3 linked regions of the Nothobranchius furzeri genome follow. The protein of the gene in region 1 purifies or fractionates together with the protein of each later gene. This does not show direct contact. Links are inferred from orthologs where the notes say so. Each region holds a gene or a part of one and is shown in the gene's direction. Other genes may lie near its edges. The genes, in order: slc30a5, slc30a6 and csgalnact2.

Evidence for each region.
Region 2: the proteins of slc30a5 (region 1) and slc30a6 purify together in Homo sapiens (co-immunoprecipitation; 5 studies listed by BioGRID and IntAct, with this or other methods). This does not show direct contact. The link is inferred for Nothobranchius furzeri from reciprocal best matches to the Homo sapiens genes SLC30A5 and SLC30A6.
Region 3: the proteins of slc30a5 (region 1) and csgalnact2 purify together in Homo sapiens (co-immunoprecipitation; 3 studies listed by BioGRID and IntAct, counting the BioPlex papers as one, with this or other methods). This does not show direct contact. The link is inferred for Nothobranchius furzeri from reciprocal best matches to the Homo sapiens genes SLC30A5 and CSGALNACT2.

The regions. Positions count from the first base shown.
Region 1 is NC_091746.1:73,786,557-73,797,196, forward strand, and holds the start of slc30a5 (proton-coupled zinc antiporter SLC30A5), read left to right. Parts: upstream 1-4,149; 5' UTR 4,150-4,369; coding exon 4,370-4,440; intron 4,441-5,248; coding exon 5,249-5,371; intron 5,372-5,444; coding exon 5,445-5,511; intron 5,512-5,943; coding exon 5,944-6,029; intron 6,030-6,170; coding exon 6,171-6,258; intron 6,259-8,260; coding exon 8,261-8,354; intron 8,355-8,434; coding exon 8,435-8,511; intron 8,512-8,576; coding exon 8,577-8,747; intron 8,748-10,640. Other genes in the region: annexin A1, read left to right, coding at 1,649-1,771, 1,860-1,916. UniProt on the Homo sapiens protein: Together with SLC30A6 forms a functional proton-coupled zinc ion antiporter mediating zinc entry into the lumen of organelles along the secretory pathway.
Region 2 is NC_091752.1:45,301,143-45,311,263, forward strand, and holds part of slc30a6 (zinc transporter 6), read left to right. Parts: intron 1-4,032; coding exon 4,033-4,075; intron 4,076-4,331; coding exon 4,332-4,397; intron 4,398-10,121. UniProt on the Homo sapiens protein: Has probably no intrinsic transporter activity but together with SLC30A5 forms a functional zinc ion:proton antiporter heterodimer, mediating zinc entry into the lumen of organelles along the secretory pathway.
Region 3 is NC_091752.1:5,682,634-5,693,287, reverse strand, and holds the start of csgalnact2 (chondroitin sulfate N-acetylgalactosaminyltransferase 2), read left to right. Parts: upstream 1-5,230; 5' UTR 5,231-5,365; intron 5,366-7,050; exon of another isoform or gene 7,051-7,212; intron 7,213-7,333; 5' UTR 7,334-7,479; coding exon 7,480-8,131; intron 8,132-8,193; coding exon 8,194-8,410; intron 8,411-8,533; coding exon 8,534-8,635; intron 8,636-8,705; coding exon 8,706-8,884; intron 8,885-8,965; coding exon 8,966-9,060; intron 9,061-10,654. Other genes in the region: proto-oncogene tyrosine-protein kinase receptor Ret, read left to right, coding at 1,505-1,662. UniProt on the Homo sapiens protein: Transfers 1,4-N-acetylgalactosamine (GalNAc) from UDP-GalNAc to the non-reducing end of glucuronic acid (GlcUA). Required for addition of the first GalNAc to the core tetrasaccharide linker and for elongation of chondroitin chains.

The DNA.
Region 1 (10,640 bases):
CTGCTTCTCTTTGTTCAAGATTAGTTGACTCATTAGTTATCGACTGAAATCCCTTGAATTCTCTGACAAATCTCTTGAGCCTGGCAATTGCTCTCACCACTCTGGACCAGTCAGAAAATTTAAACGGTTTACCACTGGATTCTGTTCTCTTGCTTTAACTGCATGAACATGTACTTTCCGAAGTTCAGGATCAGTAGCCTCAACTTCTCCCACCATTCCCACTTCATGTGGGAAATTTTGCTGCCAAAGGAAGTGGGTCCTTTCAGCCAGTTGGATTCTTTAATTTGAACTGCAGTCAATCCTCATGAGGCTCCATCAGCTGGGTTGACTTCGGAGTTGACATATCGCTATTGTTCAGGTGTTGTTCTAGATCTTATTCGCTGGATGCGGTTGGCCACAAATGTTTGGAACCTTTTAGCAGCATTGTTCACATAGCCAAGGACCACCGTTGAGTCAGTCCAGTAATACTCTTGCAAATTCTCAATCTCCAGCTCGCCTCTGATATCACCAATGCGAACTGAGGTCACAGCTGAAGACAACTCAAGTCTTGGGATGGTCGTTAGTTTGGTAGGGGCTACTCTTGCTTTCCCCAAGACAAGGGAACAACTTATTTGTCCTGTTTCACTCACCAATCTAAGGTATGAGCATGCACCATACCCTTTGAAGCTTGCATCTGAAAAGTTGTGAAGCTCATATAGTGAGACTTCACCAAAGTTTGATGGAAGGTAGCTTCTTGGAATCTTTAGAAATGCCAAATGAGGCAGGTCTTTGCTTCTTTCTTGCTCCTCCAACACTGCCAAGACTTCCTGAGTTGCAGCAGCTTCAGCTACAGCCTCTATTCTTTTGACAGAGTGGCTGCAAGAGTGGGTAGAACTACATCCTGATTGATGAGACAGTGGTCTAGAAACAGAACCTGTTGAACCTAGAACGGATCCAACGTCAGGCCAAGACTCTTCATCTTTATCTGCTTCATGACCTTTAAGCTGTCTTTCTGCTCTTTGAATGATACATTCTGAGAATGACATGCATGTATCAACCCTGCGCCGCAGGTCTGGTTCAGGGGTTTGAACTTGACGCAGCTCCTCATAAACTACTTTTACATCAGAACAGGTGCCTTTGATTTTCTCAATAAGCTCAGTTAACTCATCCTTAGAAGAATCACCACTTAATAACTCTTTGCCTATTCGTGCATGACACCTCCACTTAGATGATTTTGTATCTGCGTTGAATGTGCTTCAGTCTCTCATCTTGGTATGCTCTCCCCCTTTCTGTCAGGGTACGCGCCCTCTCACTTCTTCGGAGCCCATCTAGTTCTGCTGTAACCAGCTGGCTGCTACCACTTCAACTTAAGGACAAACTACCAGAGTTCCTAAAAGGCGGGCATGGCCTGGGGATGTTTGCCGACGGGAGGAGCGAGAGTTGTTTAAAAGCTAGCTTTTTTGGACTTTTGCACCTTTTCCATTCTCACTTGTAAAATATATGCATAGAAAAAGAGAACGGAAACCCAGTAATCAACTCGCCCAACAAATATTATGGCTCTTACAATAAATATAGATATATAGAGAGGTCTGTTTAATATTGTGAGAATGACTAGGTAATCGTAGCATTTCATGACTTCTACAACTGAAACCCTGCTTTGTTCCAACAGGGTGTTGGTACCCGAGACAGAACACTGATCAGGATTCTGGTGAGCCGCTCTGAGGTCGACCTGAAGAAGATAGTGGAGGAATACCAAGCCATGTTTGGGAGAAGCCTACAGGACGACATAGTGGTAGAAATATAACTGTTATAGTGTTTCCATTCTGGCTTTTAGTATGAATTAATACAAATATAAGTTTTTTCCTTTTTTTGTTTTCTAGGCTGACACTAAGGGAGAGTACCAGAAAGTCCTGCTTGGGTTGTGTGGAGCTCAGTGAAACTGGAGACGGCTCACCCTGACACCATTTTTCTGTCTTCTAATAAAGCAAACGTATCCCAGCCTTCCTTCTTTCCATCATGATCAGCTTTATGAATGTAGCTCTGTTTGACAAGGACGCCCAGAATGCTGAACACGGCATAACAGAATAAAACCATGCTAAAAACACACGACAGATAGAGTTAAAAGCACATTAAAGGTTAAATCCATCAATCAATTTTCATTTGCTTATCTGGAGTCAGGTCGCGGAAGCAGTTACCTCAAATTGGGCCAGCTCCTCCAGGGAATCCCAAGGTATTCCCTGGCCAGCTGACAGAAACAGTCCCTCCAGAGTGTCCTGGGTATTCCCTTGGGTCTCCACCCGAGCCACATTCCATTTGGACTGCCGGTACCCATCAGCTACCTCTGGAGTCCCACAGGCCAATAAGACCTGACTCTTTCTTCAGCTTGACAGCATCCCTAACCGCCGGTGCCAAGCACCTGGAAAATGGAAGCACTGAACATGGGCCAGTGACTCGATGTCCCAGGCTTCCCTTAAAGCTCCTTCTCACAAGAGACTCCACCAGACGTTCCCAGCAGACCCTCACAAGTTTAGGTCCGCCCCCCCCCACCCCCATCATCAAAGCCGACTCACCACCAGGTAGTGGTCAGTTGACAGCTCCACCCCTCTCCACCCGAGTGTCCAACACATGCAGCCACAGATGAGATGAAACGACAACAAAGTAAATCATCAAACTGTGGCTTAAGGTATCCTGGTGCCAAGAGCACACATGGACACCGTTAAGCTGGAAGATGGTGTCATGGACAATCCATGATGTGCACAGAAGTCCAGTAACAAAACACTGCTCATAATCAGATTGGGGGGCCAATCCTCCCAACCACACCTCTCCAGGTCTCACTGTCGTTGCCCACGTGAGCGTTAAAGTCCCCCAGCAGAAAGAGGGAGTCACCGGAAGGAGCGCTCTCCAGGACCTCCAAGGACTCCAAAAAGGGTGGGTAGTCTGAGCTGCAGTTTGGTGCATAAGCACAAACCACAGTCGGGAGGACCCGTTCCTCCACACAAAGGCGTTAGATCTAGCCTAGTGAACTAGACCAAATTCTTGCTTTGCAAAGAATGGTCTAGGCATGCTCCATTGAAACCTCAGCAGCTCCTACCAGGACTCTGGCTAGCCAATCACAGCTCTCTAGAGGGGTTTCAAACACATAAAGAGCTGTGATTGGTCCATAATGGTGGGCCAATCATAGTGCTCTATCTGCCTAGTGAACAAATCACAGAGCTTCATCCGCTTTGTGGGCCAATCAGGGCACTCTATATGCCTGGTGGGTGGGATGATGCAACAGAGTGAAACAAGAGTATGTCACATTCATTGTCCAGTGGAATGCGGAGATCATTTGAAAGACAACGGTAGAACCCGCCCCACAACCGAGAGCCGTCAATGGAGCGTGGCCAGACTAAATAATACATTTATTTAGTCTGGCTTGCCAGGCTACGTTAGATCATCAGTAGAAATAACAATGAAAATTTAAAGCAAGGTTCAGTTTAATCTGAAAACATTATTTCCCTTTAAATTCACTAAATGATTTTGCTTTAAAACCAGAAAAATGCTCTGATCCGCCTGTATGGGTGTTTCATTTTCTGATGCCGTTGGATCAGCTTTGGGGAAAACATGATAAAACGTGAATCTCAAGGGTGTTTTTATTTTTTGTAGATCGTATCAGTGACGAACTAAACTTTCATGCCCACAAGCCCCTTTCTTATCAAACGTTAACAACACATAAGGCAATAGTGGCAGAAAACACTATAAACCCTGCGACCTGCACACAGGACATGACGAGTTTATAACACTTGATTGATCAAAATAAACAGTATGCAGTTCCTTCAGATGAAATGTTCTTGTAGCTGTTGCACGTGTTATTTAGTTATGTAACACGTTTAGAAGTCCACATGATAATATATTAAAGCAAAGATGTGAGTTAGACCATTTTCATACGGTCGAGTTACAGAAATTACATCTAACCGACTCCCCCTTCAGTCACCTAACAGATCTGCGCAGCCGCCATGCGCAGCAGACACGTTCTCGGATTTTCTCGCGTGAGGTGCAAAGCTTGACGTATACGGAAGTTTCATGGCTTTAGGGACAATCAGGATATTTTTCCTTCTCATTTTAGAGCTTTCCGATTAATTCTTTTGTTTGTTTTAGACGAAAAAAGTATTATTTTGTGTTTCTAAAACGCTCTTAAATGGGAATCTGAGTCAGAACGAAGACGGAGCACGTGATGCCAAAAGCAGCTTGAGCTAGCCGGCAGAATGAAGAACAAACAGAAAACTAAGGCCTTGTTTACTTCAGCGGTAAACGGAGGAGGATTTGTGTCGTTACTTTTATTGTTGACTGAATTGTGAAGGATTTGAAGAGGATAACTTTGCTGTCACTGGTCGGTTTTGCGAGCTTTGAGATGGAGGATAAATACAGCAGCAACGTCCTGTCGGGTGGAAGACTGGGAATGGTCGAAGTGCCTGATTCAAGGTAAAACATGTCTTTATAGCTGTTTAAAGCACAGAAGTATCGGTTTAAGGAGGGAAACCCAGGCATCCTCTCCCGCTCCTCCTTGGGTAACCCAAGGCGTTCCCAGAACACATGATACCCCTCCTGGTGGTCCTCGGGTCTCTTCCCAGTGGGACATGTGTGGAATACCTCCAGCTCATTGTATCCTGAAGGCTTGAATGTCAGATTTCTCTACAATCTCAGCTGAGTTCTTTCTATGAGGAGGAGAGGCTCTACGACAAGGATGGAGCGCTTCACCCCGTCTCAAAGGACGTGTCTGCTCCTCCTTCAGAGGAAGATCATGTCATCTGCTTTGCTTCTACCCCCTCTAAGGTCACGTGATCTGGACCATAACTAAAGAAATGAGATCTCAGCTCCAGGTGGCTGCAATAAGCCCCTTCTGTACACGCCACATTTGTTCAGTTTTCTTCTAGTTGTCCCTTTGTCATACCAGCAGGAGCTCTTTTATTATCTACCACAGAGGGAACCTGCTCTGGGATGTTTTTCCTTCGTTAACACACACCTGTATGCTCCAGACTCACAACAACCCCTAATTTTATAAAGAATACATCTGATCAGCAGCTGTTATCGAAGCATGAAGGGTGGACTTAGGTCTTCCTACTTACATCATTATGTAATAGCATTAGCTAATGTTATAAGATGCTGTCAAATCACCTGGCAGGGGTGTAAAATACATTTTCTGTGGGCCACAAATCAGTTTCTGTCCTCATTTAACTTTACATAATTCTGTGTGTCACTAATGATGTTTTCTGTTGTCTTCCGTCCGCAGGTTGAGCAGGTACATCGTTCTGCTGATCATCTCTAAGGTCCTCAAAGCTTTAGGGATCTTTGAATCTTATGATATCCTAAAAGTTGTTCATATAGTTCAGTTCATCTTCATATTGAAGTTGGGGTGAGTACTTCAGCTCTCTGTTTCAGGGTCGGACGCAGGCGGACGACATGCTGACTCTTGTTTTGATTTTTAGGAGCGCTGTTGTTCTGCTGTTTTTCCAAAAGCCCTTTTCATCTGGAAAAGTCATCTCAAGGAGCCAGGTCAGTCTGGTTCCCTTCTCAGTTCTCGTTTCATCCGGTGGAACAAAACAGTCCTGGTTGGGTTCCAGTTTTTAATTCAGTAATCAGGAGAAAAAGGTGTTTTTTTTCTCCATTTGCTGCTTAAATCAGCTTTAGTTTGTCGTCAAAAAAAAGAAAACCTTCTAAAATCGGAGTCTTTCTGGAAAACTTCCACATAAACCCTTAATTTATTTATTTAGTCCTTCAAAGGGTCAAGAAACCCCAGATCAAGTACACCCTCTTCCTTCAACATAAACGTTAAACATGTGAAAAACTCGGCCTCTTGTAAAAGCGAAGCTTCTCCGGGAGTTAAACGCGTTTCATCGGCTCTTCACAAGGTTAAAACAAACATTTGTTTATGTTTAAGAGCTTGTTGTGACGTAATAAACTGTTTTCATCTGTTTTTCTTTCCAGTGGATTAAATTAGTGAAACATGCCGTTTTCAGCTGCATCATCTCCCTGCTGGGATTCTTCGGTCTGACTCTCTGTGGACCTTTAAGGTAGAACCTGATCGTTTTTATTACAGTCACGTAAACATTTGGATCCCTCTAAACTCTTGAGTTTAATTGGGTTTATTTTATTTACGTCAGCGCTACAGAAGGAAACTTCCAGTGTTTTGTTTTTAAAATCCTGTTTTTTAGGACGCTGCTGCTCTTCGAGCACAGCGACGTGGTCATCGTCGCCCTCCTTGGCGTTCTTTTCACAAACTCGGGAGGAGGACCATCTAAGGTAAAAACCTCCCAAACTTTGGCCAGTCCTGATACTCTTTTACTCATCAATCTGCTTAAGATAAATTAAAATAAGCCCAAACATTCCAGAAACGTTTAAGGTTCAGAGAAGTTTAAAAGGTCGGGTAGATGTTCCTGGAAAATCGGTTCCATCAAGCTACGTTTGGAAGTTTTGAAATGATAAAATCCACCAGACTTAATGGATCCTGACAGAAAATCATAAAAAACGTTCTTAAATGTTACCTTTGACCTGTTGCTGACCCCCTTTTCTGCCTTAAACCCGAACGTAACACGCCTGCATAACAACCACGGAGCCTCGTACTGCGGTCAGGAGTTCTCTGGACCCTGTCTCCACTCAGAGTTTAGGAGAGAGACTCCACTGGTGCCTAAACCAGAGATCCAGCAGGGAGGACTGGGACTATTGCTGTAGTGTTATTCTACGTATGTATTTTAATTATGATGAATAAGATTTGATGATTCCATATCGTTGTCGTCACCGTCTTCCTCCGCTTTTCCGGGTCCGGGTCGTGGGGGCAGCATCCCAACTAGGGAGCTCCAGACCGTCCTCTCCCCGGCCACCTCCACCAGCTCCTCCGGCAGGACCCCAAGGCGTTCCCGGACCAGATTGGAGATGTAACCTCTCCAACGTGTCCTGGGTCGACCCGGGGGCCTCCTGCCGGCAGGACCTGCCCGAAACACCTCCCCAGGGAGGCGTCCAGGAGGCATCCTGACCAGATGTCCAAACCACCTCAACTGGCTCCTTTCGATCCGGAGGAGCAGCGGTTCTACTCCGAGTCCCTCCCGAATGTCCGAGCTCCTCACCCTATCTCTAAGGCTGAGCCCGGCCACCCTACGGAGGAAACTCATTTCGGCCGCTTGTATCCGTGATCTCGTTCTTTCGGTCATTACCCAAAGCTCATGACCATAGGTGAGGATTGGGACGTAGATCGACCGGTAAATCGAGAGCCTGGCTTTCCAGCTCAGCTCCCTCTTCACCACAACAGATCGGCTCAGCGTCCGCATCACTGCAGACGCCGAACCAATCCGCCTGTCGATCTCCCGATCCCTCCTACCCTCACTCGTGAACAAGACCCCGAGATACTTAAACTCCTCCACTTGAGGTAGGACCTCTCCCCCGACCCGGAGGTGGCAAGCCACCCTTTTCCGGTCCGATTGTTTTTTTATTCAGGGACCGTGACACACTTCCTATTAATTCAGACAGTCAAGTTCATAAAAAGTAAGAAATTTATTTTCTAAACAAATTATAAAACCTGACAACTAGGAAACGGTTATGTGAGTTGGAGTGTGTGTTGTAGTGTAATGTGATGTCGTATCTGGAAGAAACTGAGTTCTGAGTGGGATTGAGTTTGGTCTGCTGTGAACTGGAAGTGATGGTTTATAAAACAGCATCAGACGCAATCTGTCGCGCCTACGTACCCTGTCGGAGACGCCGTTGTAGATCCGGAATGTCAGGAAGTCCGTGGACCCCAAAAGTACCGAAGTCCGTAGGAGAAACGGCAGCGCCACTAGACCGGTCTCGAGTTGCCTCCAGGTCACCACAGCTAGCTGTTGCGTCTAAGGAAGGACCTTTAAGGAGTCGGCGCGGTGTCGGCTTGGTTCTGAAGGAACCGTTTGCTGTGTCAGCTTTGACGGCTTGTCAAAAGATGCGGTGGTTCAACGAGTGTTGCTCCGGTTGGCCGGTCCGAAGCTCTGCTCAAACCGAATCAGCTCGGGAAGTGGTTCTAGTTTTATTAAATCCTACGTTATGATTTACTGACCAGACGGAATTTGACATGTTGAGGTTTTACCAACAAACCTCAGAAACCACACCTTCCTCAGATACAAGAGCTCTGATTTGTGGATAAGAGAGTACACCACCCTGGAAGCAGTGAACACCCTCCGCTGCTAATATAGCTGACAGATAAACGGCAGAACTCCTCTTGGAAAGCCTCTCCTGCTCCTCTAACAGGTTTGAAATAATGTTCCCCGTGTTCTTCTGCCAGACCAGGGGGGCGGCCTTCTTCATCATCGCCGTGATCTGCCTCCTGCTGTTTGATAACGATGACCTGATGGTGAAGATGGGAGACCACCATCACCGTATCCTTGGTTCCACGCCGTGTTTTAATCCCTGTGGTTCTGTTCTGCACCGTTCGAGCCTTGACTGATCTTGCTATCAGCTGAGGGACATCACGACAGCACGCTCACACACTTCCTCTACACCACCATCTCATTTTTAGGAGTCGCAGATCACAAAGTACGGAAAGCAGCTTTGGGTTTTGGTAGCGAGGACTTCCTTCTGATCCGTGTATCTGTTGTCAGGGCGGCGTTGTGCTTTTGGTGGCGTCGGTGTGTCTGAAGGTAGCCTTCCACACGGCGTCCCGTAAACTGTCCGTGGAGATCGGAGGCTGCAAGCGGCTCTACGCCCTGGACAACCTGGTTTCTGCTGCGGTTCTGCTGCCGTGGGTCGTGGTGTTGTCAGCGACCACAGAGGTGAGTAAACCGGTCCGACGGATAAAAGGAGACGTTACGCCTCCATTCCAAACCCTAGGTGCCATCTTTGATGTAAAATAGGGATGGGAGATAAACTCGATTTTTAGTTGCATCGAGATGCGAACAGGAACGATTATCAATCGATTTAAAAAAGTAAAAAATCAATTTTATTTATGACGAGGCGCTAAAAGTGGAACTCGGCTAAAAGGAAGTCTGGTGCTTGGACGGAACGGTTACAGTTTGCACAGGACAACATGGCCGACTGAGGAACACGGCCAGCACCGCCAACATTAAAAGCAAGCGTGTGGAATGACTTTGGTTTTCATGATATTTGAGGGGAAACGGGACCCGGACCAAAGCCATACGGTGTTCAAGTTGTGTAAAATAAAACCAACACGAGAAACCACGCTGATCGTTTTCACCCGAAGGAGGAGAAAAAGATGCCGTAGCTGCGGCTGCCGCCACCAACCAGAGATCTACGGAGCAGGCGTCGTTAAAATTTCCACCAAACTCTGATCAGGCGAACTGAATTACAAAGCCCATAGCAAGTTTTATCGCAAAAGGTCTGCGTCCGTACGCTTTATTTCTTTCCTGTTTTACGCATTTATTTATACAAGTTCTTGTCGAGGGTATTTATACTTCGGATGCAACAATACCACTTTTTTCCAAACCGATATGATACAGATACTTGGATCTGAATATTCGCAGATAACCAATACCGATACTTCTACCACACAAATAAGGCAATGATTTGGAATACAGATTTTCTTCTCTGCTTTCAACAGGAAAAGACTGTGAGGTAGATAAAAAGTAAAATATATGAATGGAAATCATCACAACACTAAAATATTAGGTGAACAGAAATGACAAGTTACAGTGAAGCCATTTTCAAGCAACTGCATTGGTATCGGTTCACTTTTACCGATACCAGTATCGCATCGGTATCTGTACCGATACCAGTATCGGTATCAGCGCATCCCTAATTTATACTCAAATGTTGTTGTCTAATCGTATTTATTTCTGGAAAAAGAACAGTTATTCATGTTCAAATGAATTGGACATCCAGCATCATGTTGTTTGGAAGCTGTTAATGACAGCAGCACTTTTCTTTAAAACATTGCACTGATACTTATGTTAATAAAAGATATTGGAATTAAATTAATGATTCATAATTACATATGTTTTTCTTAAGTAATCACTTGGCAACCAGGTGAGGGCGGAGAAAGACGCATCGATAATCGGAGCTCCCTCAATCGTAATCGAATGGAATCTTGATGTTCCTGAAGATTCCCGCCCCTCATGTAAAAGAAGCAAAACTTACATTTTTTAATTTCACCACCGATGTACTGTAAAATCTAGAAGCGTCATTTAAATACATGTCACATTAACATGTTTATTTTAGCCGTTTTCCCTGTTGAGGTCATAAAAGAGCCTTTGGCTGAAGTTAAAATGTTGTTTTCATAATTTTATTAAAGTTTATAAATTATGCTGCGAAGGTCGATTAAAAAGATTAAGTAACTACTTACTTTAAACGGACATTACAGAAGTGTGACAGCCAAAACATGTATAGAAATAATAAATGTCTTCTTCATACGTTCTCCTGCAATGCCCTGGTCCTGTAGAATGAGCCCTGGCATTTTTACTGTGATTGCCTGTTTTTCTGTAAAATCACAGAAAAAGAGAGATGCTCGGGTCGAGCAGGCTGCTTCATGCGCGTTCACGCTCAGGCATCGCCCGTAGCATTTGCTATCCGTAGCTTTAGCAGCAGAGAGAGAGGCAGTGCCACTTTGTCGCTGTTCCTAACGCCTAGTGACAAAGCTAGCTACATTTCTGAGGACCCTTAGCTACTTTCTGTAGAACTTTCTTCTAGATATTTCCTGCAAGTTAGCAACA
Region 2 (10,121 bases), on another chromosome or scaffold:
ATTTGTCAATTTTATCATCGTTATAGTCTTCAACCAAGATATATATTGTTTACTTTTGTTTAGTTTTCGTCTGCAAACATATATTTATTGTGAAATATTTCACACATTAGCAAATCGTATGGGTGGGTCAGAGGTGCACAGGACCCAGAAATCAGTCTTGGTATCATGTGGATCAGTTCCTTTTTCCGCTTTTTCAAATAAACTTAAACGTGAAATACAGCAAAAACCAGTTTGTCACTGAGGTTTTAATGCACAATACAAACCACGTTCTTTTGGGATTTTTTAAAAGGTCTGCAAACATCAGGCATATGTTTTGGTGTGTGGTGTGCTCTTTTGTTAAATCACTTCTAAACAGTTGAGACCAATGTTGTCTGACAACAATCAGAGTGGTCGCAGGTGTCGGGGACACGTCTCAGTTTAGCGTCTGACATTCTGAATGTGGACAAACGCGGGACAACTTTGGGAGGACTTGGAGACCAAATAAAGTCCTGTTGGAGCTACACGGAAGAGTCAAGTTTGTGACCTCTACGGTCTTCTATCATCCGTGAGTGAGCCTATGGTGCACACCTTTCTCTTCTTGTTGCTACATGCTGGTGAGGAATGGTGGAAAACTAACCATCCAACAGGTTTCTCTTACTGATGTCTGTGAGGGGATTCTTTTTCCTGGATATTTTCCGTTTCAGTCTGCCAACGCTATTCTCACCCTCCTTGTCCCTCTTTCACTTTTCCTCTGTCCTTCTGTCCATCCACATGTCCATCATCCTGCCTCCTGCCTCCTCACCTTTCTCTGCGTACATCTATCTACCTCGATGTTCTATCCATCCATCTGTCCTCCTCCTCATGTCGACCCACTACTCCTGTTTGGTTTGTGGGTCTTTGCTGCGGGCCTCTCTGTCAGGAGCATCACAGGGCGTCAGGTTGGCCAACATGGACTCTGGAAGTGGGGAAACAAAATGTTCCTCTCAGCACAAAGCCGCTCTAATCCTGCCCCCTCTTCCCCCGCAGCACAGCCTGATTACAGAAAGCTGGTTGGCAGGCTTTAGGACCGACAGACAAACAAAAAGACGGACGCTAGTGGAGGGAGACAGACAGATGGACAGGCGGGTTTGCTGTATTTAAGCCAGGTCTTTCTCAGTATTGGGCCAGTTAACGAACTGATTAATTTGTTGTCTTGTTGGCTGGCTGGCTGATTGGTTTACTTACTGAACCTTCAGCTTACCTGCTCTGCTGGCTGTTCTCCAAGTGCTGACTCAGCAAAAGCTTCCTGACTGAATAACTTGATGACAAATTCAATTTCCTGCCAGAAACATCTCTAGGATGCATTCTAGTAAAGTCGGTGACAGCTGTTACTGATTCAAAAAAAGCCTCACCCATTCATCTGTAGCTTTGTGAAGAAAGTATGACAACAGTCACTAGAATAGAATTATTTGTGTCTGGGGGGGGGGGGGGGGGGGGGGGGGGGGAGCTGTTTGTGGGGGTTGCTGCACACAGACACTTTTATGGCACCAACTTGTCAGTTTTAACATCTGAGCTTTTCTAACTTGTGTCATTATTATCTTTATTTCAAGCAACATCATTACCGCATGCACTTCAAAATATATCACAACATTGATTTTAGGCCACATGGCCCGTTCCCAACCAAATGAATAGTAAACCGACTTTTTTTTTTTTGGGCTTGACACTTACCTTACGTAAGTGACGAGACCACTGAAGCGGTCTTTTGATCACATGGTCACCACAAAGTAACACATGTAACACCATCAAACAGTCAGTACATATCTAATCAGCCATGTACCAATGTTGTTGTCCATTCCTTTGGCCATCTGGCAAATCCTATTTCAGTTGCGTCTGCTTCACTCCCGCCAGCATTTGTGTACTATTTGTGTTGCTATTAGCTAACCAGAATAACACCATCATGAGAGCACAGGGTAATTTTCTGGACCAACCAATATTTTCTACATTGATGTCTAGCTCATGATGTGGTCAGGCAGGATAACTTATCAGCTGACATTGGTCATTATTTCAATAACAACAAACAAAGGTTTGATCACTGTTGTTGTTCCTTTCAGATATGATAAAACTGCATCTTTCCAAACAAAGATGACTGAAAACTAAAACTTGTATGAGGTTGTTGGATTTTAGCGATGACAGTGAAATGTTTCCAGAAAACACACCTTGTCTTGGATCTGAAGCCCACGCATGAAGCTCCTGGATGCCTTTTGCTGAGATTATGGGTTGTGGAAGTCATGCTGTTGTGAAACGCTAGCTTAGCACTATGCTAGCCTAGTATAATGCTAGCGTTGTGATACGCTAGCTTTGTGCTAACCTAGCTGTCTCGTCCATCGGCTTGAGTTTATAATATTCCCACAATTAGAAATTGTTTTGGTGTTTTCTCTGGTTTCTCTTTTGTCAAAAGTGAAAACGCACTTATTTAAAAAAAATGAATTGGAACATTTTATTTATAATCAATTAAATAGAATTACATAAATATTTGTTTCAGCTGTGATGAACAGTATTTGTGATACAAGTAGCTTGATCTCAGCAAACATTGGTTACAATCTCATTAACCTGCTTATTGTTCTTCAAATCATTCTTTTAAAGCCTGGGTCACCCCGGAGACAGACACGCCGTGGTTTTCAGAAGTCAAGTGGTCACTCAGGCCACGCCGCAGAGCGCTTCTTGGAAAGTTGTGCGATAGTCACAACATCTTGTGAGACTTGAGAACAGGAAGCGGGAAGTTACTCAATTGTTTATACGTGGTCAGACTTGCCGTCCTGTTTTGAGACTCTAATTCATAAAAAATGAGTAAGCATGCTATTTATTAGAATATTTTAAGATGAATAGTACTCTAAAGTTATCAAAACTGCGGCTGAGTTTGTGTCTTAAAGCTGCTCTGCGTTATAACGTCTGTTGTAAAGTACTCCACAATGTTGTAAGCAGCCGCGGCACTAGAACTGGCGCCTATCTTCAGCACCGCGGCGCTTCTGGGACGCGGGACTATAATTGCTTCTATTTAAAATGACAGTGTGGTGCGTCTGGCCCCAGTGTGCCCTAGGCTTAACCCTCCCACATTGTTAAGCTTGGTTTATGCTTGACACATTCACTTTCCGCTTGGTGATGCGGCTCGCGGATGGAACGCGCCTCACAACTCGCAGCGTTTATGGTTCGTGCGGCTTGTCTCTGCGGTGAGCCAATATTCTCCCAAACTGAACGGGGCAGCATGGAGCTCTACAGCATGCATCCAACACTACACCATAGTAGAAGTAGAAATTACTGTTGTTTACAACATGGCATTCCAGCATTTTTAACAGCGTCCTCGTCTTTTCAGACAGTGCGAGCTATTTCTCTCCAAGAATTATTAACAACATGTTGATCACGGTGATCTCTGAGAGCTGAATCATACAAATGTCTGTATTTACGAACCTCTGCCATACTAGTTCTTGCCGGTCCGCCATGTTTTTCCTCGTCTGACCGTCCGCGTGGTTAGAAAATTTCCTAGGTGCGCGTTGCGGAAAGTTTGGGCCGTGCGGAGGCGCGGTGGAGGGGCGTGGTTGTTAAAATGATGCAATTTCGCTGCGCGGAGCCATGCGGACCTCGCGGACGCGTCAAGCATAAACCAACCTTGGGGTCAGATGGATCTCTGGTGTATATATTTTATTTTATTTTTTGAGAGGTGCATCACTTCACCCCTGCCAAGGAATAAACTTTAAAGGCAGTTTAAGCTCCCCCACTGAACATCATCCCCCCACTGTGGGATCAATAAAGTCTATTCTATTGTAGAAACTGTAGGCTGAATGGCTAGAATCAGTTTTAAACACACAAAATTGAAATGTGTAGACTGGCTTCTGACATGATTCAGATAAGACTCTGCTTAATGAGAAAAACATCATTGACCTTTAAAATAATCACACCTTTTTTTTGCTAAACATTTTTACATTGCTTGTAAATAAAGATGTTCCTCCAGAAAACAACACAAGCTTCTAGCATGTGTTACTTTTCTGTTGACTTTGGTTTGTGTCTGTTTCGTTTCAGCTTTAACTGCCTACACATATCTCACCATCTTCGACCTCTTCAGGTGAGTTTAGTTCCACCCTTGTTCAGTTTTGTTTTCAGATAGCCCAGTGTTTTCCAGTATCATGAACTCTGAACTTTAGTTGACCTCTGTGCTGTTTCCACTCTTTCCTCTGCCACTTGTCGTTCACTGACTCTTCTTATTTGCTCGTCTCTTGCCTGTCTCCTTCCATCCCTCCATCAATCACTCCTCCTCCTCTTTCCCTGCCATCACCCTTCCCTTTGTCCGTCTTTCTTCTATCTTCGTCCTTCACCTGCAGTCTGATCACCTGTCTCATCAGCTCCTGGGTCACCATGAAGAAACCCAGTCAGGTGTACTCGTTTGGGTGAGTTCACTCTCATTTCCTAAGTAAGTTTTTTCCTTACCTGCTACCGCTATGTTGCCTGTAGAGAGGTAGGGTTACCCACTAACTACCAGCATTACGTCAGTCATCAGAACTGTAAATGTCATGCTTTGTAAATGATTATCCCAAAAATACATCCTGGCACACACTTTCTGAGTGTGTTCATTGTCGGTAACAGGGTTGAGCTCTCATTTCAATCTGAGAGGTGACCTCTGACTCTGAGATTTGGATGGCGATCGAGTGGAAATCTGCTTTTCAGCTTTACTTGAGTCTCACATGCATTTGTGTGTGTGTGTGTGTGTGTGTGTGTGTGTGTGTGTGTGTGTGCGCGCGCGCGCGCACTTTTCTTTATGTGTTTGAGTGGACCCATTTTGTCTTTAGCTTTTGCTGTGTGGACATTTCCACATTGTGGGGACATTTTGCTGGTCCACACAATGTGGAGCACCCTAAAATGTGGTTTTAGAGTAGAGACTAACCGATATATATATATATATATATATATATATATATATATATATATATATATATATATATATATATATATATATATATATATATTTTTTTTTTTTTTTCTATATCGACCATCGGCCATAATTATTTTTAAAAGCCGATGGGAAAAAATAAAATATCTGGCACCTATATGGCCAACTGCCACCACTACTACAGGAGTCTGCCTGCTTGGACTACGAAACTTAAAAACAGTTTCTACCACCAAGCCATACGACACCTCAACCATTACACTTAAACACACACTTAAACACACACAACACAGGATACAGATGTTACCCTGCAGCTCCACAAGTAAAATTTAATCTGCACTGGTTACTTCATTTTAATGTTACTACTCACTTTTTTTTAGATATATTTATATTTAGTCATCTATACTTACTTATCTATTTAGTAAGCTTTTACTTTTAACATGACTCTGTTATATTTTGCTTTTACTGTATTATACCTTCTTCTTTTTTCTGTTGTATTATGCTGCTGAGAGACCGCTGCTCGTCAAACACATTTCATTGCAATGTTGACCCTGTGCTAACTTGCATATGACAAATAAAACTAAACTAAACTACTAGGCTGAAGAAAGGACCTGAAGGACCCCAACACACTGTTTATTTATTGTTGACTTTGTTTTATATTTGAAGATCAATAAATATTGAGATTTATTGACTTATTTAATTTCTATTACACACAGTGAGTGTCACAATCAATGTGCTGCTAAAACGTTTATATACCGGCTGACCTGAAAGTGTCATGGCTGCGGCAGCGGCTGGGCTGTGATGCTGGTTAGGGGGCTCATGTGTGAGGGGGAGGGACAAAGAGGCTGATTTGCTGGTTTCCTGCAACAGCAGTAGGGGATTATAATGTAATAACATTTTACTGACTCAGCACGACTTCTTTCCTTTCAAAAACAATAAAAAACTTTCAGAGGTATCAAACCAAAATAAGTTTGTATAGCGTGTCCATGTTTGTAGTTCTAGCTGTGTTTTTGTGATGAAAACACCCCAGAGGTCCCTCCTTGGTAAAACTCTGCATGCTTGTTTCTTGTTCTTTAGAACATTAGAGAGCTTTTACTTTTCATCCTTCTTATTATTGGATTAATGGCTTTAATGTTTCCATGGTATGATGTCATTTCCTGTCATGTTTGTAAATATTGCTGTACATCATGAACAATGTACCTGATTTGAAGAAAATCATGAAGTAAATAACTTCCTAGACTCGTTCAGCTCTACTGTGGATGTGTTAATTCTAAAGGAGGAACAACAACAACATTATGATGCAGGTGAAGTCACCTTCCTCTGCCCATGTGACTCCTGTCTGCTGGAATAATCACTACATTCACAGTGAGTCCAATAGGAGCAGACTGCAGGTTGTTTTATGTGGTGTCTGTATGGATTAACCTCAGGCAGAGCAGATCGCGACCTCTGACCTCGCAGCATGCAGGCAGACTGACTGAACAATGAGCACTTTGTCACAGTCATCTGTGAGTGTGTCCACGCTACACTGTGAGTAAAACCTGTAAACCTGCAGGGTGTCTGCTTGTCAGATCATCGGTTGGTCTCTTTAATCAGTCTGTTTAGCACGGAGACATGCTCCCACTGTAACACTCAACAAAAGACTAGAGGTTTCCTCTCACGACCTGACCTCCTTCGCCCAGATCAGTCAGACTCTGAGGCTCCGTTCACGCCAAACTCATTTCAGGCAAACTTTGAGATGTTTTAGTCATTTTTAAACATTGATTTTCCCTATTTTATCTGATCTAGGTTCCACTAAGTCTTAATTTTTTTTTTTCAAAAGTTTGAGTGTTTTAAATCTGAAATATTCACTGCTTAAGTGTTGGGTGGAAATGAAACGGGTATTCTAACAGAACCAGCAACATCGTTATCACATCTTCAGCACAAAGGCAATGACTTGTGTTTCATTGTCACAGCATCAAAATCAATTTACTTTCACGCTTTGATGGGAATAACAGCGTTACTAACAGAAGTTAGTTTTTTCAGTCACAAGTAATCTAATTAAGTACTGTCTTCTTTTGTCATAACTCCGTTTTTGTTACCGATAGGAAAATGCGTGTTACTATAATTCAGCAGCGCGGTGTGTTGAAGCTGTCATCAGCTGATCGGTAGCTAAAGGAGCGGATGTTTACACCAAGCTCATCATGGCCAGTGAGGAATGAGGAAGATGTGAGGACTGCTTATGGCTTCAGGCCTGGAGACCCGTGAATCTGCAGCTCGACTCTTCTTGGCATGACAGCGGGACTTCCCGAAGATCCGCTCAGCTGTTCACCGCCCCCACGTCAGTTCATTAATTCCTCGTCACCATCTTCTACCTTCCTAGATCGTCCTACCTAGAACCTCCCTCTCACGCCATCAAGCCACCCAAAATGCAGCAGCCAGACTCCTAACCAAATCCAGCAGACAAGCTCACATCACTCCAGTTTTACAGTCCCTCCACTGGCTCCCGGTAGAATATAGAATACAGTTTAAAGTTTTAGTCCTGACCTATAGGGCTCTTAACAACCAGGCTCCAAGCTACCTATCTGAGCTTTTATCCCCACACACCACCTCTCGGAACCTTAGATCCACATCTGAAAACCTCTTGGCTGTTCCTCGAACCAGACTGAAAACCAAAGGGGACAGGGCCTTTCAGACTATTGCACCCAGACTTTGGAACAGTCTACCTTCAAATCTCCGTCTCTCTAACACTGTAGAGGTCTTTAAAAATCATCTAAAAACTCACCTTTTCATCCAGGCGTTCCCTCCATTAATGTTTCTAAAAGATGGTTTTGTTCTTGTTCACACCTTCACTTTGTTTATACTCATGATTTTATTTTCTACTTTATCACTGCTATTGTTTTTCTGATGTTTTTATTGATTAGAGGTATTTGCTCTGATCTTTATCATGTTGTACAGCGCTTTGTGATTTTTATCTGTGAAAGGCGCTCTATAAATAAACTTACTTACTTACTTACTAAAACCTGAGTGAACATTGACGGGAGCTCAAGGCGACTATACAATCACAGACTGATGGCGACCTGGCTTTGTTGCTACTGGACTTGTAAGTAAGAATATTTTCGACCAACAGTGTGGATATTTTTACTGGCTTGTTCAGTACAACCAGGCTCATGTTAGCGTTAGCTTGTTGTTGGCGCTAGCTACAGCAGGTTGCTGCAGGTTTAGGGTTGACGGTTGTAATTCCACTTTCAAACAGCAGGATGGAGCAGCTGGAAATTGTTTAGCTTTAAAATGTGTTCACATAAAATGTTAAAAAATATTTAATTTCTTTCTTTGATCAGCCCAAAATCATGACTTATTTAGGAATCACACAGATAAGAAACATGTTAATATTACAGGGTTTATGCGGGGCATTAAAAAGCATTAAAAGTCATTAAATGAAATTTTCTAAAATTAAGGCCTTAAATGGCATTAAAAAGCATTAAATTAGATTGTCAGTGGCATTAAATTTTTTCAAGAAATATTCTTAAATAATTTTAATTTTTTTGTCTTTATTGTGATTTGTTGTGAAATTGTATGAAACGTATGTTTGAGTCAATACGCTGGCGGAACCATTTCGATTATTACTTCTGTTCCGACCGGTTTCTTGTTGAATTGTCGTAAAACCGGATGTTGGACAAGAAGCTGGATCGTGAGGAGTAAACGTTTGGAAAATGGGGAAATGCAAATTCCAGCAAAAGTGGTTGGAAAACGATAAATTCAAGGTATGGCTGCAGCCCGTTAATGGTCAAGATGGAGAAGGATTTTGTACTGTTTGTAAAAAAAAAAAAAAATTTAAAGTTAAAGTTCCATTAGTTGTCACACACACAGGTGTGTGTGCGAAATTTGTTCTCCGCATTTGACCCATCCCCTGGGGGAGCGGTGAGCTGCAGACAAGCCGCGCTCGGGAACCATTTGGTGGATTAACCCCCCAATCCAACCCCTTAATGCTGAGTGTCAAGCAGGGAGGCATTGGGTCCCATTTTTTCAAAGTCTTTGGTATGACCCGACCAGGAATCGAACCCTGATCTCCCAGTCTCAGGACGAACACTCTACCATTAGGCCACTGAGCTGGTTGTATTAAACTTGGTACAATGGGTGTGAACGCTGTGAAATCGCACATGCAGTCGGACAACCACAAAGCAGCCGTAAAAGGCAGACAGCAGCTAACCGTGACTAGTTACTTTTCTGTAACTAGCAACGCGACATCTTCTGCAACTACCACGACCACAACAAGCAGCACAACTGCAGCTGCGAACCCTGCCGTCGGAACATCAAGCACGCTTCAAAAATTGTTTGGATCACCTGCGGTACTTCAGGCAGAGGTGCTCTGGTGTCTGTACACTGCCGTGCAGCACCACTCCTACGCATCCAATGAAGGTGTTTCGGAGTTGTTCCAGGCAATGTTTTCGGATACTGAAATAGCTAAATCTTTCACCTGTGGAAAGGACAAGACGAGCTACGTTTTAAAGTTTGGACTCGCCCCACATGTCAAAAAAGAACTGATTTCTGCAGCTAACAACGCTGGACCATTTGTGCTGATGTTTGATGAAAGCTTCAACCAGTCCACAAAAAATAAACAACTAGAGGTCCATATTCGATTTTGGGAGGCTGGTGCTGTCCAGTCACGTTATCTTGGATCACAGTTTATGGGCCATTCAAAGGCTAAAGATTTGCTGCACCATTTCAAAGTGAGTATGTTTGTACTTTTTGTTTATGAAGTGGTATTCAGATGAATTAAAGAGACAAGATGTGTTCATTTTGTTGAGTTTTTTTGCTTTTAGATAGTTTTAATAAGCTTATTTTGAAATTACTATAAGCACATTTCAAATCTAACATGTTGGTGTTGGTGTTGGTGTTTTCAGGTTTTCTTTTTCATATCAAATAATAAAATTTATTTTATTGTATTCATAGGATTGTGTGTGTCTGCTAGACATGAAGAACCTCCTATCCATCAGTATGGATGGGCCAAATGTGAACTTGAAGTTTTTAAATGATTTCCAGCAAGAGCATGCTGAACTACATGGAGGCCGCCAATTAATTAATGTTGGAAGCTGTGGACTGCACACTCTGCACAATTCATTCAAGACTGGCTTCTCTACATGGAATATTGAGAAACTGTTAAGAGCAATGCACTTTCTTTTTCACAATGTCCCTGCAAGAAGAGAAGATTTTACAAAACTTACAGGCTCATCTCTTTTTCCACTCCCAT
Region 3 (10,654 bases), on another chromosome or scaffold:
ACAGTGCTGAGAAACAGTAAGGCTCTTGAACGCAACTCTTACGGTGGAATTGTTTAAGCTAGCCGTCTCGCTGGACAGCGACTGCTGGCGAGGAAGTCTATATTTCCTTGCATAAGCTCGCAAATGAATGTTCTCGTGTCACGGCGTCGTCACGTGGTTCTTATTTTTGTTTCAGAGTCCAAAAGTGTGAGAGATAAGAGACAACTTTGGGAGGGTTTGAGACACGATCGAGACACTTTGCACAAAGTTCAAGCGGCTGTCGTAATTTGTTTTTCCACCTTGCTAGTTCCAAGTTGCCAACTTCTTCGTGGTTGAGGTCTTGGTCCATTCCGACCTGATCGTTCGAATGTTGCAGATGACATTCAGACTCATCAGACCAGGAGGGGCTTTTCCGGTCTCTTCTGGTCCAGGTCTGGTGATCCTGCGGGAATTGTAGCTTCAGGTTCCTGACTGGAGCGAACCCCGCTGTGGGCTTCTGCTGTTGTGGTTCTGCGGACCCTTGTTGGAGCCTGTACTTATTTCAGCTTCTGTTGTATTTCTGTCAGTCTGACCATTCTCCGTAAATGATGGTTGTTGGTGAAAATCCCAGTAGCTCAGCAGTTTCTGAAACACTCAGACAAGTTTGTTTTGTACCAAAAATCATTCAAAGTCTCTTAAAGGCCAAGTTCACAGAGAAATCATTTTTAATTGTTCTTTTTAAAATATGATCGGTCACTCTGAGTTTAACGTGTAGCCTAAATGTGAAAATACTCATCCACCCCTATTTCCTGCATTAGCAACCGATAGACAGTGAACGGGGAACACTTTGATCAGAAAAGCCTGGGACACCAGCACACCGTCAAATCAACATGGTCATTGTGGAGCTAAAGCATCGACGTTGCAGAGCTAACGGAATCCGTGGTAGAGTCTCGTTGCTGTTAGCTTATCAGAGGAGAGATGTCCAGATGTCAGGAAATGAAACTCCAGATCCTGCCGTCTTTTACTCGCCTCTAACGAGGCTCCCTTCTAGTTCCTGAAACGGGAGCGCCAGAGCTTCTTTCCCCACAGAGCATTCATTTTTGCTAGAGGCCCCTGCAGATGTGTTGAAAACAAACAGGGAAGTTGGTTATTAATCATCAGCCAGTAGCTGATGAGTTCCTTCCATCTGTGTGGCTGATGATTTGTGTTTACGAGCTAAAAAAAGTGATCGTTCTCACTGAGAGTGTGTGTTTTCTCACCGTTCTTAATGTCCAACAGTCCGCCCAGTGAGACGCCGTGCAGCTCGTGCTGGAGCAGTTACTAACATCTGCATTTTTCAACAGTTACTGGAAGGCAGCAGGAATAACATTTATAGCCTTCATACATAATAAAAACAAACCCAATCAATAATTAATCTCATTGCACAAACTTTCTACCTCCAGGAGGACCCGTTTTCGCCACCACCGAGTTTGATTTGAGAGCCTTACTGTCTGCACGCTGTCTACCTTTCAATGAGTGCAGAAAAATGATATGTTCTCATTTTTAGGCATGTCATACCCGAACTGGCCTGAGAAGAGTCCGGTACCCCTCCACAGACACGATGCCACTAATCCAGTCTTTACAAGATATGCCAATGATAGTGTTTATGCAAACTGGATGGCTTTGCCCTCACCTGCAAAAACTGTGGACAATCTCGATAGCTAAAGGCAAATCAACACTAGAAAAGCGACTTAACTGGTAGATGTATTTCTAGACGCCTGTACATAATCTGATGGTGAAGTTGGTTCCCCTTTTATTTCTGTTGCACGGGTGCTTTTTAAAACAGGCTTCTTTTAGCTGCAGAATCATCTGGATGAACGTGGGCCAAGCTTCTTTTAGATGTTAATTATTACCCTTAGGTCATGTTGGCTGAACTGTATCACTGCATGACTATTGTACCAGATTGTATGTCAGTGTCAATGTCTTGAAAGTGCCTGTGCTGCTTCTACAAAGCCTCCAACTGACCGTGTGTGTGTGTGTGGCGTTGAAAATCCGTGTCCCAGCCCAGGAATCCAAGGGGACGTCTGTACCATCGGTAGTGGGAGTGAGAAGCACTGAGCTGGGTCTGAGGACCTGAAGTCTCTACCTTACAGGATTGTTCTCCTCAAAAACCTCCAAGACCTGCTTTTTTGTCAATCTTCCGCTACATGTTTAAAAGCTGCCAAAGAAAAGAAATATTTGATGAACTCTTCCTTTTTTTTCCCCGATTTTAATAATATCATCTTGTTATTCCACTGGGAGGGTGTGATACCTCCGCTGTCGGACTACAGTTCATGTTTCCATAAGCTGTAAAGATCATGTACACCAATGAGTGGTATTGCTGTTATGTTATTTGATTTTTGTTATTAATAAAAATGAAAAAGAGTTTGTTCACGGTAATTTGTTCAGTATTTCATATAGTTTGTGTCACAGAAGGGTCTATTTTCTTCTGTGCTCTCACATTTTTAGTCATTTCTACATAAATAAATAACGGTCATCATGACTACAGTGCTGTGAAAAGGTGTTTACTTCCTTTAAAGTAGCCCCAGATTATCACACTTCCACCACCATGCCCAGCTGTTGGTTTGATGCTGTTTTCCTACACAAAGTTTTGTCTCAACAGTCCAAGGAATATTTCCCCAAAAGGCTTTGGATCGACAAGATGGTTTTTGGGAAAATGTGAGTCTGTTTTCATTTTTTGTTTGTTTTTGGGCTAGCAGAGCTGAAACAATAAAGCGTAGAAAAAAAAAATAACAGAAGCATTGTTGAGGGAGCAAATCATTTATGATATCTGATGTCTAAAATAGAATGGAATGGTACACTGTCTGGCCAAAAAAATGTCTCCACCTGGATTTAACTAAGCCTCCTATAGGATAATTACTGCATGAGCAATTATCATGGTATTTAACCCCACTGGTGCAATGAGTTGCTTCTCATTTCTTAACCAGCCATGTGGAAAGTCACATCTGGTGGTTGTGGAAAAGCTGTTTGTGTGAGAAGGGTCAGATCAGTAGCATGCATCAAGCAGAGAAAACATCTAAGGAGGTGCAGAAACGATTAAAACTGGGTCAAGAACTGTCCAACGCTTCGTTAAAACTGGTCTGAGTCCAGGTGGACCCTGTTCCAGCCCAGAGGGTAAGAAGAGATGCAGATGAAGTGATGCACCCATCATGCCTAGTGCCTACTGTACACGCCTGTGGAGGCAGTGCTATGATCTGGGCTCGCTGCAGTTGGTCAGGTCTAGGTTCAGCAACAGGATGTGCACCAAGAATGAGGTCAGCTGACTACCTGAACATCCTGAATGACCAGGTTATTCCATCTTCCCTGATGGCGCGGGCACATTCCCAGATGACAATGGCAGGATTCATCGGGCTCAGATAGTGAGAGTGGTTCAGGGAGCATGAGACATCATTCTCACACATGGATCAGCCACCACAGTCCAGACCTGAGCCCCATTGAGAATCTTTGGGATGTGAGAAGGTTTTTTTTGCAGCGGTCAGACAACCATCATCAATGCAAGATCTCAGTAAAGCATTAATGCAACAGTGGGTGGAAATAAATCTGGTGACGTTGCAGAAGCTCATCGAAACAACGCCACCGCGAATGTGAGTCGTAATCAAGGCTAATGGTGCTCAGACAAATGTTAGAGAGTGATCTTTTTTTTTTGCCCTTGCTGTGTATTAAGTATTAGTTCAATAAAGCATGCTTAACATGAATATAAGCCTTAATTTAACTCTTGTTTGACCTGTAATATGAAAGCTCGCTCATTTTTCCACATAGTCCAATTACTGCTGACTCTACTGCAGCTGTGAGGAATTTGTTATCAAAACATAGCAGATAAGAAAAGAGTGAAGACAAGAAACTGATTAGAAGAATAAAACACAGGATACAAGTGCACGGCCCTGCACCATCTTCCTGGCGCTGGTGATTGACAATGATAACAAAGGAAGGAGCAAACGAATGATTCAATACAGAGCCTCGTGGGAACATTTCCTAGTTTATTTTTGGAGTTGTAACGATAACAGATGATATATCTGAACATTAAACTCGTGATGCATCGCCCCTCTTTAGTGTTAAATCAATTATAACTCGTAAGGCAGTGCACCATCAAAGATAACAACTTTATTTCATTAGTTAGCACAAAAATGACACAAAGCAGAAACAATATTGCAATGACTTCGTGATGTGTTTAACTAAATCCAGGTTGTTTATGCTGCACTTTAGCTTACATAACGTCATTTATGATGTGAAAACAAATACAATCAAAATAAATGTGTTTGATATTGTGGTAAAAACAATAATACGGTTTTCTTTTGCTGAAATTACAACAAAGCTAAGATTTTAATGAAGGCTGTGGTTCTCTTGTTGGCTCTTCCTTCTTCCATCTCAGGAACGTTGCTAAGCTGAGTCCCATTCTGTCCCGCTCTGAACTTGAGACAGTTCTCCACACCTTCATCTCCTCACGCTTAGACTACTGTAACTCTCTTTTCACGTGTCTGAGCAGAACCTCCCTGAACCGTCTACAGGTGGTTCAGAACGCCTGTGCTCGGCTTCTGACCAAGTCCTCCAAACACACCCACATCACCCCACTTCTCCTCCAGCTTCACTGGCTGCCAGTCAACTTCAGGGTTCATTTCAAGATCCTGGTTCTGGTCTATAGGGCCTTACATGGACAAGCACCATCTTACATTGGTGATCTTCTTAGTCCCTACACCCCCAGCAGGTCCCTGAGGTCCAGTGATCAAAGCCTACTGGTTGTGCAGCACCAGGCTAAAGGTCAAAGGTGACAGATCATCTGCTGCTGTGGCCCCCAGACTCTGGACCTCTCTCCCCCTGAGCCTGAGATCAGTGGACTCCTTTAAAAGCAGCTGAAGACTCACCTGTTCAGGCTTTGGTGTGACCTTCACCACCCTCTCCTTGTTCTGCTCTTATCCCGCCTTTCCCCCCATCCACTGATTTCCCTCTTTCCTATTCTTTCTCTCTCTCCCTTTACTTACATTTTCTTACAAATTTTTATTTTCTTTTGTCATTTAAAACCTATGTTCAAAACACATTTTTAATCATTTGAAAAAAATTATATTTTAAATTGTTTTTGTGAAGCACCTCTTGATTTTTTTCTTGAGAGGCGCTATATAAAAGATCATTTTCTTTCTTTCTTTCTTTCTTTCTTTCTTTCTTTTATTATGAATCAGGAGAGGCGGCGTGTTTGTTTGCGTCACAGGACAGATTAGAAATCTGATTGGTTCCTCGCTGACCGGAAGTAGGCAAACACCTACTCTTTTCTCTGTGCTCCGTGGCGTTTATCAGGAGTTGTCCGGCGTCGCTGTGCTTCCGCTAAACCGCAGCCGGAGCTGTGGCCGCGAGAACAAATGGACACCGACATAACAAGGTGGGTAACGCTTTAATCATCACTACTGCTGCGAAATGAGCCGTTTGTCGGCACAAAACAACAGAACGCATCGCCGCGAAGCCCTGAAACGCTGCTAAAGTAGCTGCAGAAGCGTCGGGGCCACATCCGGTGTAGCTTTTTTCAAAATAAATGTAGACGTTTTATCGTGTCTTTTTGTGAGCAGTTTAAATGTGTAAAATATTTTCTGAGATTAATTAGGAATTCAAACCGTTTTTGTAAGACTTTCTTTTGGGGTCTGTCAAATGTTTGTAAAGTTTAATATACATCTATTTTCCTTGATTTAATTTTTTTTACAAGGGTGAAAACTTCTACCTGCTCCATCAGAGTTGGGTTTTGTCCTCCACCCTCCAAATAATTGTTTTGTCCTTTCTCACCACATCCATGAATCTCGTTTTTGTTCTTCCTCTCATCCTCCTGACTGGTGGCTCCAACCTCGGCATTCGACCTGAATCATCGTCTCTTTTTGGAAATGTCCTAACCATCTCAGTCTGGCCTCTCTTGACTTTATCTCCTAAACATCTAACATGCGCTGTCCATCTGATGGACTCATTCCTGATCCTATTTGTCCTTGTTACTCTCAAAGAGGTCCTGAACATCTTGAACTTTGCAACCTCCACATCTGCCTCCTGCCCCTTCCTCATGGACAGTGTCTCCAGAGCTTATCGCATGGCTGGTCTCAGGCTGTCGTTTACACACACCTTTTATCTCATTCTTGCTGAAACTCTTTACCTCTCATCACATCTGACACGTTTAGCTGCTTCACCTCTCGTCCAAGGTTTTATAAACCAGTTGTTTTTGAATCACTATTAGATACTTTTTTTTTACAGAGTATGGGGGAATCATTTCTATTTTAAAACAAATTGAAAAACATTTTTTTTTTACTTTTAAAATTAACAAATAGACTATTAAGTGTTTTAAATGGTTATGTTCGTGTTTGGTTACTGGTAGAAAAATATGAAAATTTGAAAAGGCTTTGCACACAAATATACTGTTTATTTCAAGCCAAATAATTGATATAACACCAATTCACAACATAAGTGATGACAGAAAATTATACCTAATCTATATTGAATCACAACTTAGTTTTTTAGTTCAACAAAAACAATTTGTTAAAAACAAGAAAATGACCAATAAATAAATATGTTGTAACACCCAATATCTATGGTGAACCTCTTGTCTCACCCACCCTCTGGTTGTGCAGCACCAGGCTAAAGGCCAAAGGTGACGGATCATCTGCTGCTGTGGCCCCCAGACTCTGGATCTCTCCCCCTGAGCCTGAGATCAGTGGACTCAGTGGTCTCCCTTAAAAAGCAGCTGACGACTCACCTGTTCAGGCTTTGTTGTGACCATCATCACCACCCGCTCCTTATCCTGTTCTTATTCCACCATTCCCGGGATCCACTGATTTCCCTTTCCTTACATTTATTTAATCACAAGTTCTATTTCTTCTCATTTTGAACATATTTTAATCGAGTAGTTTTTACATTTTGTTTTCGTGAAGCGCCTCGTGATTTTATCTTGACAGGCGCTATTTAAAAGATCTTTTTCTTTCTTTCACCACTTTGCGGGTGTTTTATTTTGAAGAGGAGCCAGGTGAACCGGAAGTGTAGTTTGTGTAAACTCGCTGGTGGAACCACCGGGGTTTTCTCCTGAGCCGTTGTTTGGGGGTGCTGCTAGCTCTCCAGGTGCAGCTAACCCCTCCTGTTCTCTGCTTTTCTGGACTAAACCTTCAAATCGAGATTTTTTTTCTGGAAGCTGGAGATTCTTTGAAAGGTTTTTGAGGAAATCATAATGAAATTGGCAGGCAGGCTGACTTCAAACTAAAGGTTTGCATCATGATATAAAATATTGCTCTCTTCCTGTTTTTTTTTTTTTTTTTTGTCTGAAAGCTCTTGCAGGTTTATTTTTTTGTCTCATATATATTAATATTTTCTGTATTTTCCACAGGTAGAACCAACGTTTGAACACAAGAAACCAGATTTATGCATTTTGATGTTGCTGAAAAGCTATGTGGGAACATTTAGTGAGTGATGTAAGCAGAGGAAACGGGGAATGCAGACATCCTTGCTGGGTTTAGGTTTTATGTGGACGTGATGCCCAGGCGGGGGTTACTGTTCCAAGGCCGGGTTCGCTGGCTCTTCCTGGGCCTCCTCCTGCTGCTGGTGTTGCTGCTCTTCATGTACCTGCTGGAGTGCACTCCACCTGCAGACGTCAGCCTGGTCCTGCCTGGCTTAGCGGGGGAGACCTACGGGAAGGAGTACTACCAGGCTCTGCTGCAGGAACATGAGGAGCGCCACCTTAGCCGTGCTTCCAGCCTCAAGCGGCAGATTGCCCAGCTCAAGCAGGAGCTCCAGGAGATGAGTGAGAAGCTGAAGCTGATGCAGGAGAAGAAGGAGCCTCCGGGGGTGCAGGGTCTGGGGGAGAACAAAGACCAAGAGCCAGGAGACCTGCTGGAGTACCTGCACTCTCAGATCGACAAGGCTGAGGTCAACACGGGAGCACGCCTGCCAAGCGAGTACGCTCTGGTGCCCTTTGAGAGTTTCACCTCGTCTAAGGTCTACCAGCTGGAGATGGGACTGACGCGGCACCCGGAGGAGAAGCCGGTCCGCAAAGACCGCAGGGATGAGCTGGTGGAGGTCATTGAGGCTGCGCTGGACATCATCAACAACCCTGATGAGGAGGATGGTGTGGAGGAGGACATGGCCATGCAGAGGAAGACCTACACAGACGGTCACTTCACAGAAGGTAAGACCTGCAGCATCTCCTGCGTCGCCTGTGCTTCACTCCGTCGTTTTTCTGTTCCTCAGGATTGTACAGGACGGAGCGAGATAAAGGGACGCTTTACGAGCTGTTTTTCTCCAAGGAGGATTCCAGCAGTTTCCGCCACGTCACGCTCTTCCGGCCGTTCGGTCCCGTCATGAAAGTCAGGAGCACATCCGTGGAAACTTCAGGAATGACCATCAACATCATTGTGCCTCTGGCGGGCAGAGTTGAAACTTTCTCACAGTTCTTGCACAACTTCAGGTGAGGCTGAATCACTAATTTCTGTTGGGGAGACATGACCCATCACGTTGTTCTGCTGCCTTTCAGGTTTTACATCAGTCTGGTTTTTATTAGTGTGCCATTTTGAAATGACCTGCTTTTCAGAGAGGTGTGCGTGCAACAGGACAGACAGGTTCATCTCACGGTGGTTTATTTTGGCCACGAAGGTCTGCAGGAGGTCCGATCATCTTTGGACAAAATGTCGAGGTCGGTTCTTGGTGCTCCTCTCACATTTAGACGTTTATAATCCATAGACACGAGGTGTGTTGTTCCACAGGGAGGAGAGTTTCTCCAATTACACCCTCATCCCGGTGGACGAGGAGTTCTCCCGAGGTCGAGGCTTGGATATCGGAGCCCACACGTGGAACAAAGGCGACGTGCTGATGTTTTTCTGTGACGTAGATATTCGCTTTACGTTGGACTTCCTTAACACCTGTCGTCTGCACACTGCACCAAGTAGGCATGGATCCGATTGTTTTTCTCTCGTTTTGGTAACGTCGTTGTTTTCACATCATTTTGCTTGACTTTGTTTTGCAGACAAGAAAGTATTTTACCCGGTGGTGTTCAGCCTGTATAATCCTGCCATCGTTTATGGAAGTTTGGAGCTGGCTCCGCCTATTGAACTCCAGTTGGTAAGAAATGAAACGTTCTTGTGACCCAACCAGGGCCGCTTCACATGAATGTGAGCCCAACTTCCAGCTTCACCTGCTGTTTCTACACTGAAAACCGTAAATAGCAACACTCCTGTTTATAATTGCGTTGGTATGTTTCACAACTGTTAGCAATTAATGAAGATACTCATGAATATCAGACACAAGGTTCTAAGTATGGTTGGTTGAACATGCAGTGGTGCGCCCGAAAAATTTAATGGGGGGGCCAGTAAACATTTTGGGGTGGCACACCAAATGGGTCCCTGTGGTAAATCTGAAAGTTTAGCCTGTAGCTGTTCATTGCATTGTTCCTTCGTTCATTTTCAATAAAAAAAACAAGTCTTACGCGTCCACCCTAACCCTCATCTTTAAGCTGAGAAATACAAACGTTTCAGATCAAAAAGAAATGCAGTGTTTCTCTGACATAGGCGTAGCCGTGGCGGCCCGCCACGGCTGAAATCCTGGCGTCATGCCTACAAGATCCCGTTTTATGGATTTAAAAAAAAAAAAGAAAAAAAATTTGCGCTGTTTCCCGAAGAAGCAGCGGGAACCACTCTGTTGTTGCTTGTGATCACAGCCGGCAGGCAGCAAGGAGGAGGAGGCAGGGCAGGGTGGTTACAGCTAGGGATGAGCCTATCCGGTACGCATAAAGCATTTTTGACGAATACTAGCATGAAACGAGTAAAACTCGTAAATATCTGTAATTGTTCTGAAGAAAAATCCTCATTGGGTAACTGACTGCTTTCACGCTCTGTGATTGGCCAGTCACATAGAGCGCCCGCCCTTCTCTACACACAAAACTCTGCAGCAGTCCCTTGGGAAGACCGTATCGAAGAAGCCAACGAGCGAAAGAGGGAGCTCAGTTCGGCCCACACACACAGTTGCTCACGTTTCTTCAGAACTCCCTAGGTTTTCTTCAGCTCGCCTCTTTTTCGATTTAATATTTAAAGTTACTTTTTTCGTAACGTACGTGGTGCATTTGACAAGACAGAGCTGAAAACGGCTCGTGCTGAGTCGGTCACTGCCTCCGCTCCGGTCGGGTTTTTAAAAAAATATTTTATCTCTCTCTCACACTCACACCTTAATCAACATTGTTTTGTTGAACTTTGTGTGGGAAAAATGCAACAACCTTAGGAAAAGATCAGTTTAATCAAATTCTGGAAATTACTGGGATTAATACTTTTTTTAGCCTCGGCTACAAACAAATTTTCAATTTTATTTATCAAATCAATAAAATACATTCATTGGTTTTAACATTCATGTCTTGATTAAAGATTAATGTATAGTTTTTATTATTTTGAATGTGATTCATCAAGGGGGGGGGGGGGTTGAACTACTTTCCAGGAGTGGCCATGGCCCCCCTAGCCACCTCATAGTTGCGCCACTGGCCAACAGTTTTGAGAACGGCAAAAAAACTTTTTTGATAGTTTCATATTTTAAATAAAATAAAACTAATAAACAACAAACCAACAATCCAAAGGAGGTTCAACAATCTCAAAATTAATTTTGCTTTTGTCAGTCAGATCGTTTTAAAAAATGGTCACCCATGTAGGAAGGGATGAGTAGAAACCCAGGG